Linked DNA regions of Macaca mulatta. The protein of the gene in region 3 purifies or fractionates together with the protein of the main gene of each other region. This does not show direct contact. Links are inferred from orthologs where the notes say so. Each region holds a gene or a part of one and is shown on either strand. Other genes may lie near its edges.

The links. Proteins that work in one complex are often made in the same cells at the same time.
Region 1: the proteins of MPHOSPH6 (region 3) and DIS3L purify together in Homo sapiens (affinity purification with mass spectrometry; 3 studies listed by BioGRID and IntAct, with this or other methods). This does not show direct contact. The link is inferred for Macaca mulatta from reciprocal best matches to the Homo sapiens genes MPHOSPH6 and DIS3L.
Region 2: the proteins of MPHOSPH6 (region 3) and C1D purify together in Homo sapiens (co-immunoprecipitation; 3 studies listed by BioGRID and IntAct, counting the BioPlex papers as one, with this or other methods). This does not show direct contact. The link is inferred for Macaca mulatta from reciprocal best matches to the Homo sapiens genes MPHOSPH6 and C1D.
Region 4: the proteins of MPHOSPH6 (region 3) and EXOSC1 purify together in Homo sapiens (affinity purification with mass spectrometry; 5 studies listed by BioGRID and IntAct, counting the BioPlex papers as one, with this or other methods). This does not show direct contact. The link is inferred for Macaca mulatta from reciprocal best matches to the Homo sapiens genes MPHOSPH6 and EXOSC1.

The regions. Positions count from the first base shown.
Region 1 is NC_133412.1:43,767,815-43,772,096, reverse strand, and holds the start of DIS3L (DIS3-like exonuclease 1), read right to left. Parts: upstream 2,805-4,282; 5' UTR 2,752-2,804; coding exon 2,613-2,751; intron 2,530-2,612; exon of another isoform or gene 2,254-2,529; coding exon of another isoform or gene 2,166-2,253; intron 1,372-2,165; coding exon 1,218-1,371; intron 1-1,217. UniProt on the Homo sapiens protein: Catalytic component of the RNA exosome complex which has 3'->5' exoribonuclease activity and participates in a multitude of cellular RNA processing and degradation events.
Region 2 is NC_133418.1:56,665,848-56,670,142, reverse strand, and holds the start of C1D (nuclear nucleic acid-binding protein C1D), read right to left. Parts: upstream 2,805-4,295; 5' UTR 2,753-2,804; intron 1-2,752. UniProt on the Homo sapiens protein: Plays a role in the recruitment of the RNA exosome complex to pre-rRNA to mediate the 3'-5' end processing of the 5.8S rRNA; this function may include MPHOSPH6.
Region 3 is NC_133425.1:77,514,615-77,518,828, forward strand, and holds the end of MPHOSPH6 (M-phase phosphoprotein 6), read right to left. Parts: intron 3,346-4,214; coding exon 3,255-3,345; intron 1,233-3,254; coding exon 1,138-1,232; intron 694-1,137; coding exon 561-693; 3' UTR 504-560; downstream 1-503. UniProt on the Homo sapiens protein: RNA-binding protein that associates with the RNA exosome complex. Involved in the 3'-processing of the 7S pre-RNA to the mature 5.8S rRNA and play a role in recruiting the RNA exosome complex to pre-rRNA; this function may include C1D.
Region 4 is NC_133414.1:109,495,407-109,499,599, forward strand, and holds the start of EXOSC1 (exosome complex component CSL4), read right to left. Parts: upstream 2,805-4,193; 5' UTR 2,781-2,804; coding exon 2,750-2,780; intron 2,643-2,749; coding exon 2,527-2,642; intron 111-2,526; coding exon 36-110; intron 1-35. UniProt on the Homo sapiens protein: Non-catalytic component of the RNA exosome complex which has 3'->5' exoribonuclease activity and participates in a multitude of cellular RNA processing and degradation events.

The sequences.
Region 1 (4,282 bases), on a different chromosome or scaffold from region 3:
GCAGTGGAAAACCAATAGTTTTTCATCAAGTTAACTACTCTTGAAATGTTCAGGAGAAAAGACGTTTAAATTCCAACTCTTTGTCTTTGAATGTCCCAGAAATTGGTTTCTAAAACAATCCTTAACATTAAAAATATTTTAGAAAACAGAAGTTGAAAAGGCTCGCAGTGTGTTAGCAATCCGAATGATAACAACAAATTGATTTTAGTAGCAGAAATTGAAATATGACACCTGGAGCAGCATTTAAATTTGGATCTGTATAAACATCTATATCTTGGTGTCTGAACAAAATCAACTTGAAGCTCATTTAAAAATATTCTGTCTGAAAAAAACCTGCACACAATCTGGTTAATGTACATTTTTTGAACTGAGTGTATAATAAGAGGACAATTTGTCATTTTCATATACAAATAAAAACACTTCATCTTTTATTACCAAGGCCTGAAGAAACCACAACATTTTAAAAAAGAATAAATGCATAGTTTGTGCTTATTAAATAACTTAGAGTGTTAAGAGGTTGGACATATAATTCTAATATGCTATTTCCATACAGTCTTAAGTTCAAGTCATAAACCTTTCTCAACATTAAAGGAAGCGAAATCGTTTTTTAAGGTATTTGTTTAAAAAGTAGACAACTATTCTTCATTTAAGTACAAGGCAAGAATTTTAGACTGGTTCAATTGGAAATGCTTTGTTTAGCAAATACAATGACTATGGCTGGTAGTTACACTAGTAATCTAAAAATAAAACAAGCTATTTCTGGTTTTACTGAATAAATCATTACAATTTGCATCTCCAATAAAGGAGTCTAAAATTTAAAAATAAAGTACTCTTTTCCCCAAGAAAAGAATGTATGCTTCTGAAACAATGTATCTATAAATAAGATTAAATAATACACATTATCAACAAGAAATAAGCAGTAACCCTACCACTATAAAAATGCAAGCCAAAAGCCAATTCACACTAGAATCTTAAATACCCACATACTGGGGACACTGCAGTTTATTGATCTACAGTCAGATCTCTTGGCCAGGTGTTGCAGCAGAAATATAAAATAATGTTACTGCATTCCTCACTATCAAAGAGAATACAAAATTAGTTTAAAAAGTCCTTTCTGACAAAATAATGAATTCCTCCCATCCTCCTCCAACAAGGGAGCTTTTCTAAGGTGGGGGGGAACCTATGCCATATAGAAATAAAGAATGCAAAACGTATACCTCCGGCCTCTTTGATGCTGCACTGCTTGACAAGCTGTTTGCATGAAAATAATTCCTTTCAATTCAGGAAACTCAAGGATCTCAAGATAATCTTGAACAACTTTCCAGTCTGGGATCACGTAATGAGTCACATCACTAGACAAGAGTTTCCCATCTGGAACATAATTCAAAATGTAAGAGATTAGACAATGTTTTCAAACCTGGTTTATTTAAATGTCACGGTGCTCTGGCATACAAAATAACTTCCAGTCTTAACTCCACGGTGGGAGTTTTTAAAAGACCCAAAGTTCAGGTATATTGAGCACCCTAATTTTTTTTGAAGCTGTAATAAATACAAGCTCAACGTGGTTTATGGTGTTGCCAGAGGTGCCGGAGAGGATGACTGATTTAACAACGAACAAGCACATTTTCAGCATAACCTGAATATTTCAGTGTTACCTCATCATTGACAAACACATTCAAATGAAGCACCCCCACATTTATACCACTTGTGTATGATGCCCAGCAATTTCAAGTTGGCTCTGTGTCAAGCTTCTGCACGTGCTCAGCAGCCTCCAAGAGCCAGAAAGATTGAATGGAGAAAATGATCCGTGCAAGCAACGGGCAGAGGTGGGGTTTCCACCAGGCCCGTATCTGAGAGCCGGTTAGCCAAGCTCTAACTGAAATGTTCATCTTAATCACAATGTCTGGAGGATTCCAAACATTCGCTGACAAGGACCCCCATCCCATGCTCATCCTCCCATGGGGGAAGAGAGCCAGTAACGCGCGCATCGTTCTATCGGCCACCCTTGCAGCCTAGAAACCAAGGACAGGGGCCCAGGAGTCCCCAGTCCAACCTCCCCGTGACTTTCCTCTCCAGTGCGGGCCCAGATAGTTCACAAAACTACGGTGAAGAGGCTCTCCACGGGCGGGAAAGTCTGGGGCACCAGTGCGGGTAGGTCAGGAAACCTGTGGCTGCAAAGCAGATGATGTCAGCTTCGCAGCGGCAGCAGCTGGCCCGCAGCTCCCGGGGGCTCCCGGCTCGGGACCTCCCCATTTCTCCGCCGCGCGAGGTTGCGGCGGGAGGAACGCTCGGCTTCCGCGCCCTTGGGCCCCTCTGAGGAGCCAAGCCACCCGGTCTCCGGGATGGGGTGCGGGTCTCTCGGGCTCTCCCACTGGACAGAGCGGAGCAGTCGGGGAGTCCCGGGCGGGGCACCCCGGAAGCCGCGGACTTGGGCCGCTGGGTCCCGACCGGCAGAGGGCTGGGTGTGAGGCCGGCGGGCGGGCGCAGGCCGCGGGGCCTACGCCTCGGTGTCCCCGCCGCTGGCGCTCCGCCTCTGGGCCGCGCTCACCCCGTCACCGCAGCCGCCCAGTCCCGCCCGCTCCCGCCGGCCCCGTCCCCGCCCCGGCCCTGACCGTGGCTGCAGGTGGCTGGCTGCGGGCAGAGCGGGCTGTGGCAGGGCACGCAGGGCCGCAGGTAGTGCTCGCGCACGATCCGCAGCGTGCGGCCCTGGAAGGTCCTCAGCAGCAGCACCTTCTCCCGCTTCTGCAGCATGGCGGCGTGTCTCCGGGAGGCCGCGGAGCGGCGGGAGCGGCCGGCGCGGCGGAGGCGAGGCCGCGGCTTCGGGCCCGCCCCTCGGCCCTGGGCGCCGCGGCTCCGGAACCGCCGTAACTGCCGCACCCGGGGGAGGCCCGGAGCCACACACTCCAGGCTGGGGCCCGGCCCTCCCGGCCTTAGTTTTGTTCCCTTCCCTCAGTGGCCTGGACCAGGGCGGAGGGTTGGAAACGACCCACCCCAGAGACGGAGGGAAGACTAGGATGATACCTGGACCGCAGGTGAAGAAGGGCTGGGCGCAGCTGTCCAAGATTAGGAGTTTTTGTCCCCCCAGGTCCATGTGGGAATGGAGCCGCCGTATTAATACCAATACCTGGTAATTAATGTTTTCTCTTCGTTGCTCTCGCTATCTCCAAACGAGGTGAAAGACTCACCAAATAAGCCGGCAACCCTGCCAGCCCAACATTTCTAAAAAGTTGTATTCATTTTAAATTACATGTACTTTTTAAAAAGTTTTTTTCTTTTTTTGTCTATCTCTATAGGGGGGTGAGGGGGGCGGGTCTTGCTCTGTTGGCCAGGCTGGTCTCAAGCGATCCACCTGCTTCGGCCTCCCAAAGTGTTGGGATTATAGGTGTGAGCTGCTGCGCCTGGCCTTTCATGTTCTTTTTAAAATTTATTTATTTGTTTTGGTATCCCTATTGAAGTTATCATGTACTTATATATTCAAACAATGCAGATAAAATGAAAACCAATCTCTTCCCTTGAAGCACTGTTCCACTCTAACTTTTATAGCTTTTGCAACCTCTGGCAAAGGATTTCTCCTTTAAACTGCCACTGTGACACAATCACAAACGTATACATGTTTGTATTAATAGCTTTTTTTTTTTTTTTTTTTTTGGACAGGGTCTTGCTCTGTCACTCAGGCTGGAGTGTAATATATGATCACGGCTCGGCTCACTGCAGTCCCCGAACTCCTGGGCACAAGCGATCTTCACCACGCCTAGCTTTTTTTTTTCTTTTCTTTTCTTCTTTTTTTTTTTTTTTTTGGTAGAAATGGGAGTGTCTCACTATGTTACCCAGGCTGGTCTCAAACTCCTGGGCTCAAGTGATCCTCCTACCTCAGCCTCCCAAAGTGCTGGGATTACAGGCGTGAGCCACTACGCCCAGCCTGTACGTCTTGATAAAGAGATACACACGGTCTCTTCTGAGATCACATACCCTTGTTTGGATAGAATCCACTGTTCTTCCAAGCACTCAACTAAGACTTTTGAGCTGCACTAGCAGCTTTGTATACGTGTCCCATTTAATTTCCACAAGTCAAAGGAATGGGGAATTATCATTCCTATCTTATAAACTATAAAGCAGGGTTAGGGAAGTTAAGTGGCCAAGGTTACCCAGTTATTAAGTGGTGGGATCAATATTCAAGCCAGAATCTGACTGAATTCAAAGCAGGCTTGTAAGTAATTACCGTGCTATTCACAGATGAGTAAAATACAGGTCCTGCATTTAGGGACTTTATAGTCTGCTTGGT
Region 2 (4,295 bases), on a different chromosome or scaffold from region 3:
CATCTCATCTGAACTACAACACCTCCATGATTAGTCTCATGGTTTTCACCTACCCCACCCCACAACAAACTATTCTTAACACAGAAGCCACAGAAGATTCTATTAAAACCTAAGTCAGGCCAGGCGCAGTGGCTGACGCCTGTAATCCCAGCACTTTGGGAGGCCAAGACAGGCAGATCACCTGAGGTCAGAAGTTTAAGACCAGCCTGGCCAACATGGTGAAACCCCATTTCTACTAAAAATACAAAAAAAATTAGCCGGGCGTGGTGACACGTGCCTGTAATCCCAGCTACTTAGGAGGCTGAGGCAGGAGAATCGTTGGAACCCAGGAGGCGGAGGTTGCAGTGAGCTGAGATTGCACCACTGCACTCCAGCCTGGGCAACAGAGCCAGACTCCGAAAGAAAAGAAGTGGGGGGGGTGAGGTGGGGTGGGGCGGGGCGGGGCAGGGCAGGGCAGGAAAGGAAACAAAAGAAAACAAAAGAACAGACAATAAAGTAAAGTAAAACAAAATAAAACATAAAGTAAAATAAAATAAACCTAAGTCAGATCATGTCACTCCTCTGCTCTTACCTTTCCATTGGTTATTTACTCACTGGGCTATTCCTCAAGGTAAGATTCATGTCGAGGTACATTTTGAACACATCACTAACATAATGTCTTGTCATGTATTAGGTATTTAGCAACTATTTGTTAACTAACTAAAACCAACCAAAGTAACCTAAGACCTAATTTTGGAAACTCTTAATATCAGATTACAGTTTGAGCTTACAGATAATAGAAAGTCACCACATGGATCCAAACAAACATATGATCATGTACGTTCTGGGGCTCTTCCCATCTCTACACCAAATAATTATACACAGTTATGAACTAAGCTTGAGAATAAATCCAACATGATTGTGTTTTGGAACTTGAGAGCCACTTGCTGTTGCTGCACCAGAATTCTATCACTCGTAATGAATTACTGGAATGGCTTTTTTGCACTGCATTATCTCAGGAGAAAATAACAATGAAATGTACACACAAGTTCTCAATAAATATTGCTGTCTTGGGCAAACAGTGACTCCATGTTAGTATTGTCTGTGACTCTCCTTCAGTCTCACAGTACAATTCCTGAGTACATACAGACTTCTTCCTTTTCTAAAAAAGATATTAACATCTAAAAATAAATGTATCCAGAAGTCTAATAATAGAGGAGTATATAAATTATGAGGATATTGCTCAAGATTGAGATGAATAACTACATTAGATTAAATTTACTTCTATTCAGTGTTTAATTCAAAGCATTTCCAAAATTACAGCGATCAAGCAGCAAAATTACCTTCCAAAACATATGGAAGTGGCTTATTACAATCACCTCATTTCTTAAATAACAGTATATGGGGTTGCTGCATAGATTAAATAAATAATATAGATAAAAGCCATCAGAACAGGGCCTGGCTCAGCCCTCAATACATTAGATAGTATTTTACCAAAAGTGAAAGTTATCAAATACTCTAATCCATTGTGGACTATGTAGAGCTATGCTTGAAGGGTCAACTGTTTGGAAACAGTAGCTGAGATAATACATATGAAGAGCCATTTGAAAAGGTAAAAGCAGTTAAGAAAAAAAATTGCATTACTTCTGAACTGTGATACATACAACACAGCTAACTGAAGGCAGCTGTAGTATCTTTTGACTGAGAATTTTGTTTTATTTTGAAAAACCATTATTCACACTTATCATTATCTTTCAACAAAACAATGAGTTCTATCATTTCCACTAAACGCAAATACTTCTCTGTACTTCGACAGGGCTAATCTGTTAATTTTGAATCAAAAATACAGGGTTAAATAACTAAAAGTATAATTGGATTGTTTGTAACACAAAGGGTAAGTGCCTGAAGGGATGGATGCCCCATTTTCCATGTGATTATTACACATTGCCTGCCTGTATCAAAACATCTCGTGTACCCCATAAATATATACACCTACTATGTAACCACAAAAATTTTAAATTTAATTTTTTTAAAAATCACGGTTAAGTCTTGGTTCTGTCTACCATCAGACAGTACCAATGGGTTAATAAGTGGATAGCAGACATCTCATTGCGACAAATAAGTCTGTATCAAGCCAAAACTGAATTGTATTCAGCAAACATGAAGACATTAAAGGTATTTTCAAGCAAGTTTTAGTTACACTGAACTTTCCCGGGTCATCAAGAAAAACTGCTCTCTTGGATTACCCACCACAGATTTCAGCTAAAGGTCGAAATTAGCCCACTATCTCAGACGGGCTAATACTGCAGCGGCAGGCAGTCTGTGAATGTGAATGATAAACGGAGCTAACACAGTAAAGTGACTCCCCTAGACGTCCCACTTTAGCCTCTCTCCTTACGCAAGATTTGAAGACAGCTGAAAATTGTGAAGTCATGTTTTTTTTGTTGTTGTTGTTTTTAATTTTTTCGTCTTCCAAGAGTTGAGAAGGGGGTGGTTAACAAACGAAGAAAAAGAGAAAGACCGGAGCAAGAGAGAGAAATGAGGGGCCGGGGTAAGCCAAAGCCTGCAAGCAGCCCCAAAACAAGCGGAAGTGGGGGACCTGCAGCAATGCTGCCCCAGCGAAGAGCTGTGAGACACTGCATTCCTGGAAGGCTATGCAGCCAAACTCCGATTCTCTCAGTCTGCCCAGAGGATTACAGGGGAATCCCAGGAGAGGAAAAGCGGAGTTAAACAGGAGGAGGAGAAAAACTGAAAGTACAACTTTGAAAAATACCTCAGGGCCTTCGACTACAGTCTCCGGAAAGCGGTCGGGCAACGATGACGACAATGACGCGCCGGCTGTGCCCGCGCCGAGGGGCGCTTTCCGATTATCTCACGCTGCTCGCCACGCCCCCGCTCCTTCGCTCTTCTCTAAAGGCAAATCTCGAAATGAGTAGCTCGGGGCCATGTTGTGGGAGAGGATTGCGGCGGCACTCTGGGAACCTTTGTCTACATTTGTACCCGGCCAACACTCAGCCCAAATACAGGTTGAGTGTATTTAACCAGGAAAGAAATCTTAGTTACTGAAACTTTGTATTTTTACTTTCCCGGGAGCTTTTCCAGGGCCCTCACTGTTACTACGCTTTTATTGTCTGCCTCAAGATCAGCGTCTTAGAGCAGCTTCCCAGATTATCCGTGGGGAAGAATGGGTTGTTTTTCCAATCTGTCAGTAAAAGATACTTCTATAATACAGTAAAAATGAATTAGTAGAAAAATGGGGAAAATATGTGCAAAATACAAGCCCAAATTTTTTATTATTAGTTTCAGTAAATGTAAAATTGCATTTCAACGTATGCAATCAGAAGAAACATAATAGAAAATAAAGGCATTAACAGAAACTGTACATATTGTTCGTTGAAAGTTTAGTATAAGCGATTGAGCATTGTCTTAACATTTGTAACTTGTCATTCCATGATCATAATTTGATAAAAATTTATGCCTGAGTTGTCCATATATTAAATGCATGTAAAAGCATTTTGAACAAGCACCATGTATGTAATATTTAAAGTTTGGGGGAGGTCACAAGATGGCCGAATAGGAACAGCTCCAATCTGCAGCTCCCAGTGTGAGTGAGGCAGAAGACAGGTGATTTCTGCATTTCCAACTGAGGTACCAAGTTCATCTCACTAGGGCTTCTCAGACAGTGGGTGGAGCCCACAGAGCAGGGCGGGGCATGACCTCACCTGGGAAGCACAAGGGGTCCGGGAATTCCCTTTCCTGGCAAAGGGAAACCGTGATAGACCATAACTGGAAAATCAGTACACTCCCACCCTAATACTGCATTTTTCCAGCGGTCTTAGCAAACGGCACACCAGGAGATTATATCCCGTGCCAGGATCGGAGGGTCCCACACCCACAGAGCCTTGCTCACTGCTAGCACAGCAGTCTGAGATCGAACTGCAAGGCAGCAGCGAGGCTCAGGGAGGGACATCTGCCATTACTGTGGCTTGAGTAGGTAAACAAAGTGGCTGGGAAGCTGGAACTGGGTGGAGCCCACCGCAGCTCAAGGAAGCCTGCCTGCCTCTGTAGACTCCACCTCTGGGGGTGGGGCATAACTGAAAAAAAGACAGCAGAAACTTCTGCAGACTTAAACGTCCCTATCTGACAGCTTTGAAGAGAGTACTGCTTCTCCCAGCGCGGAGTTTGAGATCTGAGAACGGACAGACTGCCTCCTCAAGTGGGTCCCTGACCCCTGAGTAGCCTAACTGGAGACACCTCTCTGTAGGGGCCAACTAACAATTCATACAGGTGGGTGCCCCTCTGAGATGAAGCTTCCA
Region 3 (4,214 bases):
AGGTTTTTATTACAGAGCAATTTTTTTCTATTAATTCAATGCTTTAAATAACACAATACCATAAACTGACAATGACCTGGGAGCACGTAAACACTTAAGCCTGGAGAGGCATATTTATTCTTGATAAATTTATTTAATAAATTCTTAGAATATTTGATTCCAAACTGTATGTATGAATTGGCTTGACATAATAATTTAAATATAAACATAAGGGCAATTTAAACATTGGCAGTAATTTATATGAGTCAATTCAAGGTCAGTGACTGGAGAACTATATTACGATAAACCCGAGGTCAAAAAAACTTTAGGAAGCAGCCCTGTAAAAACATATACATTTGTAGATCAGGGGCTAAAAATTTATGAATGAATACCATGAAGCAAAGGATGTACAACATCCATCACACATCTGTTTTTTTAAACAGCATGGTTCCAAAATGATACATCTCTTTACAAAGTAAACGTTACAGTATTAATAACTATAGAGACGCTATCGGGATGAGCTCCAGATGCGCTGCTGACTTCCATCAAGCACCCATGGTCCATTGCTTAAGGCATCCATCTTAATCCTGGGGCTTTAAGAACATCTTCTTTGCTTTAATCGGTTTTATGTCTCCATTTTCATCTTCTTCGTAATTGGCATGGTCTCTCTTTCTGGCAAACTTTTTCCCAATTGTCCCCACCAAGGTCTCATATCTGTCAAGAGGATAGACAGCACGTTTAATTTCAAATAAAAAGGTAGGAATCAAACCTTGTCAAGAATATCAGACCAAATATGCAATAAAAAAGATTAAGAAAAAGAAAACTATGATTAAAAGAAACCATCTGATTTAACAATTTATGAACTTCTCCAAGAGTGATTAAATTCCTTGCCATTTTGGTGTTTGCATTACCCTAAATAAATTGAGATGTACATTTAAAAATACACATTTCCAGCAGCTCTGGAAATGGGCTCTCAACTGGCAGCCTGAGACAGGTCTGCGGCCCCTGCAGGCCATTAAGAGAAGGCTGATCACAGTCATCTTCCTACTAGGGGGACTCCCTTGAAAGCTGCCGTGGACTGTGGGGTAAGAGAAGCATTCCTGGGAGAGCCAATGAATGCTTGGTCCAGATTAGAAAGCTGCTGCGCAGGACGGTTACCTTCTAGCCATCTCTTCATCTGACACATCAAGCTCCACTGTTTCATCTTCGACTTCTTCTGCTTTGTGCTTAGCATTCATCTGAAGCATCAATTTCTGAAAAATACACCAGTGCTGACCTTCAGGCTAGAAAACGCTTGTGAAAGGAACTGATGTCAAACTTCTTTGAAGGCAGAGAAACCGAAGTCAAATAATCTAGAGAACTAGTTAAAATTGATAAGGGACTCTCTGTAATACTTGATATCACAATGGTCTAACAGAAGTCAGCTCTGAGTCAAAAAAATAGGCAAAGCCCCACTGGATTATATTTAGTGTGAATTAAAAGTGTATTTAAGATCATAAATCTTAGTACTAGTTACTGATATTTAAAGCAGGCATACTGCTGACACATTCCAGTGAGTGGGGGAAGAAATAATAAACTTTCAGATTTTCTCTGAACTTCCCCCACTCCATCTTTAAGCCAAATGGAAGAAGCACTAGTAGTCAATAATTTTAAATGCATCTCTTGGTGGTGGTGGTGGTGGTGCGTGGAGGCGGCAGCAGAAGTGGAAGGCTGGCCCTGTATGATGGAGGGAATCTGCACCTCAGCCCCACCCTCCTAAACTTTAGGGTGGATAATGCATCCCATGTAATATCCATGCACCACAGGTCTCTCCTTCAACTCTTTCACATAAACCTTTGTGATAATTATCCTCTGACCTTTCCTTTTTTTTTTTTTTTTTAAATGTGTAATCTCTTCTTTATAGCAAGAGGAGAAGGAATACAAGATGAGAAATCAGTCTCAACTAGTTTTTCTAAGGCTTAAAAGAGTGACAATAGTTCAAAACCTTTTCCTAGGGGGAGTGTATTCGGTGTTACAGAATCCAGTAATTACGGCCATTTGCTAACACCCATCCCTGCCCCCCATCAATTTCTGCGGGCAGTGGCACCTCTCCTGTCCCAGCGCAGCAGACGTACTGTGGAATGCTCGCCTATCCAAACCGTGCTCTTTGAACACCACATCTTCATAATCCCTGCCTTTTTCTTCCCTTTTTACCCCACTCTGCAGCCCCTCTCCTTCTCAATCTGAAGCTTAATTAAAGCAGGTCAAAGTGAGACCAGTAGATATGAAAAACAAACACTTCTAATATAACACCTTAATTATCACACATGCCTCCTTCCACTCTGCCAAAAAAGCAGAAAAGGAAAACTAATCTAGAGTCTTTCAATAAACTGTGGCAACTGGCTTAGTTAACTGTGGCTCCTGCAGAAGTGGTTCTTAACTGGGGACGATTCTTCCCACCAGGGAACCTGTGGCAATGCCTGGAAACATTTTTGGTTGTCACAACTGGGTTGGAGGGTGGGGTGTGTGTGTGCTGATATTTAGTTGGTAGAGAACAGAGGACAGGGATGTGGTTCATCATCCTCTTAAGAAAGCCACCACCACAAAGAATTATCTGGCCCCAAATGTCAACACTGCCAAGGGCGAGAAACCCTGACTTCGTGTAATATTTACAAAACTAAAGATTTATATCTCAAGTGTCCATTTGGTTCATCAAGTACCTGACAGGATGGCTTTTAACATATGAGCCAGAGTTCTAATGAATATTTGTTAAATAAAGGTCTGCTTCTCTATCCTGGAGCAGAAATTCAAATGAATAGCTCAGTTATAAGGCAAATATTCGTTTTTCAAACAAACTGTCCAAAGGATTCATTTAAAAATCTACTTACAAGCTTGGATTAAAACTGTCCATTAAAAAGTCAAATTATACAATTCTAAAGTAACATTTTTCCATTAGAAAAAATACATTTATAGGTGCCAGAAAATAACTTTTCATAATAGCATCATATGAATAAAATCTTGACGTTCCTGTAAACGACTCAACTTGAAATTCTAATATTTACAGTGGCACTGTCAAGGGCTGTATACCCCTATATGAAATTATCTACTCACCTCTACCACAAAACTAGACTACAATGCCTGCAATTCTTTAAATAGCTATGGTGATATTTCAAGACTTGTTATTTTCTATATAATGAGTAGAAATGGTACTTGGTAGAGAAATATCTAAGCCCAATTATTAGCAGAAAAAAAATCAATTGGAAAAATTTTAAATTTGAAGCAATTATATTTAATACCTCAACCTCAGGATTAAATCCTCTGAATGACATTCTTCCATAGAGAAGATCTTCACATAGTAAGAAACTCTGCTCTTCTATTATGAAACTCCTAAATGGGAACATAGAAATAGCATTTCTCCGTATATAAAGCACAACAAACAAAAGCCAAAACTGTGAATGAAAAAAATCAACCTATGGTTCTCAGTAGAATGAAGTAAAAATACAGTAAGATTTCTAACTTAGGGTTAAAAATAAAATCTGATTAATTTGGTCAGCAAAGGCATTAGGAGACAAGGGCAGCAGGCTGGAGGCACAACCTCTCTTAAACACCACATTTAATTTGCATAAATACCTACATAATATAAAGATCTAAAGTATCTACAATAAACTTGAATTTGCCAAAGTTGAAGCAAAGTTTCTTTTGTGTTTACATCCCCTCACCAAAAATTTTTTTCAATTCTTTTTCAGAAAGGAAATAATATGTATGTAAAAATACACATACAGTATACAGTGACACACTACTCCAAATCATTTTACTAAAGTTTCTGGCATACTTTGTATTTTCTTCTCAGGGATTTCAAAAATTCCATTTTCTAATTATCAAAGCAGCACATTTTAAGGAACATAATTTGGAAAGCAGAATAAAGTATGAGTTTATAAACTGCCTGGAAATTCCTTACCAAGAGGTTAAAAAGGACTGTTAGTATATTTGAGTATTTCCTTCCAGTCTTTTTTATACTTGCATTTACGTTGATTCTTGAACACAGGTCTGAGCTGTGTGGTACACTTATACACAGATTTTTTTCAAAAAATTTCAATAGTTTTTGGGGAACAGGTGGTTTTTTGATTACACGGGTAAGTTCTTTAGTGGTGACTTCTGAGATTTTGGCCCCCACCAAATTCTTATTACAAATCCAGGATAAGTAGTGGGAAATCAGAGGCTTGGGCAGCTTTAACAGTGTTATCAGTCAGAGCTCT
Region 4 (4,193 bases), on a different chromosome or scaffold from region 3:
GGGCGTTCTAAGCATGGAAGTTAGGACAAACTTACCTTACAGGTTACAATAGCTCCGACATCTGGCAGTAACTGGGACTCTGTTTCTCTTACTACAGACACCACAGGAAGCTACAGAGGGAAAAAGAAAAAAACTGAAATGTCCTGGCTAACTCTTGGGTCAAAGCATTTGTGTCTTGAGAGTAATATAGGAATGTCTTGGTACACAGGTGAGAGCTGGAGTATGCATTCATTTATAGGCCAGAGCAGAAGGCCTTAGAAATTTTAGGAAATAGGAGGACCAGGGGGCTACAGAATGCTGCTAGAAGATGTAAACCTCTAAACTTCTTTTTTTTTGTTGTCGTTGGAGATGGAGTCTTGCTCTGTTGCCCAGGCTGGAGTGCAGTGGCATATTCTCGGCTCACTGCAAGCTCCACCTCCCGGGTTCATGCCATTCTCCAGCCTCAGCCTCCCAAGTAGCTGAGACTACAGGCACCTGCCACCACGCCCGGCTAATTTTTTTTGTAGTAAATCCCTAAACTTCCAATAAGTTTTCTGGTGATTCTCTCAGAATTTCTTGGTATACAACTATATTGCCTATAATCATTGACAATTTTACTTTTTTTGGTTTTTTTTTGAGATGGAGTTTCACTCTTGTTGCCCAGAGTGGAGTGCAATGGCGCCATCTCGGTTCACTGCAACCTCCACCTCCTGGGTTCAAGTGATTCTCCTGCCTCAGCCTCCCGAGTAGTTGGGATTACAGACGCCTGCCACCATGCTCGGGTAATTTTTTGTATTTTTAGTAGAGATGGGGTTTCACCATGTTGGTCAGACTGGTCTCGAACACCTGACCTCAGGTGATCAACCCACCTTGGCTTCCCAAAGTGCTGGGATTACAGGCGTGAGCCACTACATCTGGCTGACAATTTTACTCTTTCCTCCAAAGTTATACTGCTTCTTTCTGTTTCTTATTTTACTGCACAGGCTGAAATTTCCACAGAAATGTTACAAATAGTAGCTACGCTTGTTTTAAGTGAATACTTGCAGAGTTTTCTCTTTGAGCATGGTATTGGCTGTTGGTATGAGACAGATATTTTGAGCCTCATCTTTTAACAATCTCTCCGTTGCTTACAATGCTTCAGCTCTCCTGGCCTTCTTTCAGTTTCCCCAACTTACTAAATTCTTCCCACTTTCAGATCTCTCTTCAACCTATTCTTTTTGCCAGAATTGCACTCTCTCCACCCACCTGACTCTAACCTACTCTTTAGATGATTCAGCTTCAATGTCACTTCTGCTGACTAGGATGGATTTGCCTGTTACATGTTCTTAAGGTGCCCTGTAATATTCTTTCAAAGCAGCCACCACATGTGTAACCATATGCTTATTTGAGCATTTATTTGTTTACAATTTGTGTCTGTGTCCTTTGATAGCAGAAACCAAGTCAGCGCTGTGCCTGACACATGAAAATACTCAAGTGGTATCTATCAAATGAACAAACTCAGGACTGTTAAGGACATTCCCAACAATGACTGAATAGAAAGCCCCTTGAGTCAGACGGCTTAAGTTACTTACTCAAAGCAGAATCGAGGTCAAGTTAGCCAGAACCTAACGGTTCTAATTCTGAATCCTCTTTCTACTGTGCTCCTTCAAATATTGCTTATATGATCCTGAGCTAATCCTGGATCAATCTCTAAAACTAGAAAAGTAGGTATTACGCATTCAACAAACATTTATTGAGGAGCTGCTTTGTGCTAGATACTGATGGTATGGTGGTAGCACCTGCACTTCGTGGAACTTAGATTTAAGCAAGGGAGAAGTCTAGTGGGAAACATACCTGAGTGTCTAATCATATGCTGACATAAGTGCTTGGAAGAAAAGGGACAGAGTTTTTTTGTAAGTCTTTAACAAAACAAACAAAAACAAAACATCCCACAAAACTCCTTTCCTCAATTAGTGGGTCCAGAAGGGCTTCTCTGAGGTGATAATACAGAAACTAACGGAGGTAGGAATTAAACAGGCCTAAGAAGACAGAAGCGTTCCAGATAGATGGCATGTTACAAAGGCTCTGTAGCAGGAGAAAGCTTGGCACATTACCGACACTGAAAGAAGCTAGTGTGTTACAAATTTTTTTAAAAGGGCAAGCCAAAACTGTGATTATAACTTTTACAAATAGAAAAGACTGTATGATTAGATCGCGTCAGTGAGGTGGAGATAGTGGCACTAGAGGTAAGCCGGAGAGGTAAGCAACATTCATACAGTATACAACGCACTGCTGGGCTGAGCTGGGCTAGGTTACTGAGTTCGCATCTGCTTTTGTCCCAACCTCCCTCCCCGAGGGTCAGCAGCACAACCAAGCGAGATCAACACAACTAGTGTGTGGTGGCTAAGTGCACAACAGCGGCGATACGGCTAGAAGAAACTAAGAGACCAACATTGTACCACTAAGGCTCTAAACACGCGTCCGCAGTGCCCATGCCTAAGGACTGGAACTCAAGGGCAGCCTAAGGGAAAAACAGAGAGAGAGGAGACGGCATGCCGCTTCCTTTACCGCGCCGTTCTCGCTGCTCTTCATCAGGCAGCCGGCAAGCGACGAAAAGATGTAGCCGTGGCGGGTGTAGGTGCCGCTGCCCGGGCTGCCCTCCTCCAAGTTACACAGACGTTCGCCTGCAGAAAAAATGCTGCATCGGTCATGGGCCCCCAGAAACTGCAGGCCGTCCAGGCTTCTTGCTTCGGCCCCTATCCAGGACTCTGTACGGGAAGCGCTCACTTACCGGGAATACAGTATCTCACAGGTGGTGCCATGATTGCCGCTGTCCCAAAAGCCGGATGAAAACGAAATCGATTTCTCATTGGCCAAACCCAGGCACAGTTCCGCAGTAAGATACGCGTCAATTGGTGTTCTTTATCCTTGCGTGTAAACTCCATTTCCCAGGTTACCCCGGGACAAATCCGGGGGCGGAACTTCAGCGCTCCATGCTTGCGCCTGCGCGTGTGGTTGAGGATGGGCTGGCGGCAGGTCCGGGTCCGCTGGGTGGCACTGCAGGCGGCGGGCCATGGTGGTTTGGATTGAGCCGGGCCCGGCCGGGGCGCCGAGTCGGAGAGGGTGGCAGTGAGCGGCGGCAGAGGCTGCGGGGCTCGGTTTGGCTGACTGGGGAGTCGGCAGGCGGCAGGTAAGGGCGAAGCCTCGGCCCTTGCTCCCCATCCTAGTCCCTTTTTCTGGGTCGGGCAATGCCCTGGGGCCTTGTCTTGAGTCCAGGTTCCTGCTCTCTCCTCGCCCTGCCCTGCGGGGCTGCGCCCTCCTCAGCCGGAGCGCACCTTGCGAGCAACCGTTACGTTCAGAGCAGGAAGGAAGGAGGTCAAGCGACCCAACTCGTCTGTTTCACAGATGTGGAACCTCAGATTCAGAGACCGGGTTTGACTTGTCCAAAATCTTCAAGATAGAGCCCAAACTGGAACCCGCGATTTTTGACTTCCAGTCCATCGCAGTTTCACCTCGCGGCTGTCATTGAGAAATAAAACCTTTTCCCGGTTTTTGTTTTGTTTTGTTTTTGAAAAGGAGTCTCGCTCTTTGGCCAGGCTGGAGTGCAGTGGCGCGATCTCTGCGCACTGCAACCTCCGCCTCCTGGCATCAAGCGATTCTCCTGCCTCAGCCTCCCGCGCAGCTGGGACTACAGGCGCGCGCCATCACGCCCAGCTAATTTTTGTATTTTCAGTAGAGACGGGGTTTCACTATGTTGGCCAGGATGGTCTCGATCTCTTGAGCCGCCCGCCTCAGCCTCCCAAAGTGCAGGAATTACAGGTGATTCCTCCCAAAGTGAGCCACCGCGCCCGGCCTTTTCCCGGTTTTTTAACTGTAGCTTCCAGTCCTGCGGTCCGATCCTCTTCGCGGCCTCCCATCCCCACTTAAGTAAGCTTTCTCAGGTTGAAAAAGCCGAACTCTGGTTGTGTGGGCCCGTCATCAAAAGATAAGCAGCCCCAAAATAAAGTTGCTACTTTTTCTTCTCAGCGTGTTACCCCAGAAGGGAGGTCTGCACGTGAATAAAATGCTACTCTTTATTGATGTCTGGTATCTCCTACTTGAGATTGCAAACATCCCGAGAGCAGCGTCCTTGTCCAGATGACATTGCCCACGACTTTGATCTCAGTTCACCTGACTTCTGATGGCTTTGCCGCCTGTCCCTCCCTGTCCCCTCAGTCGACTTTCCCCTTGGGAAA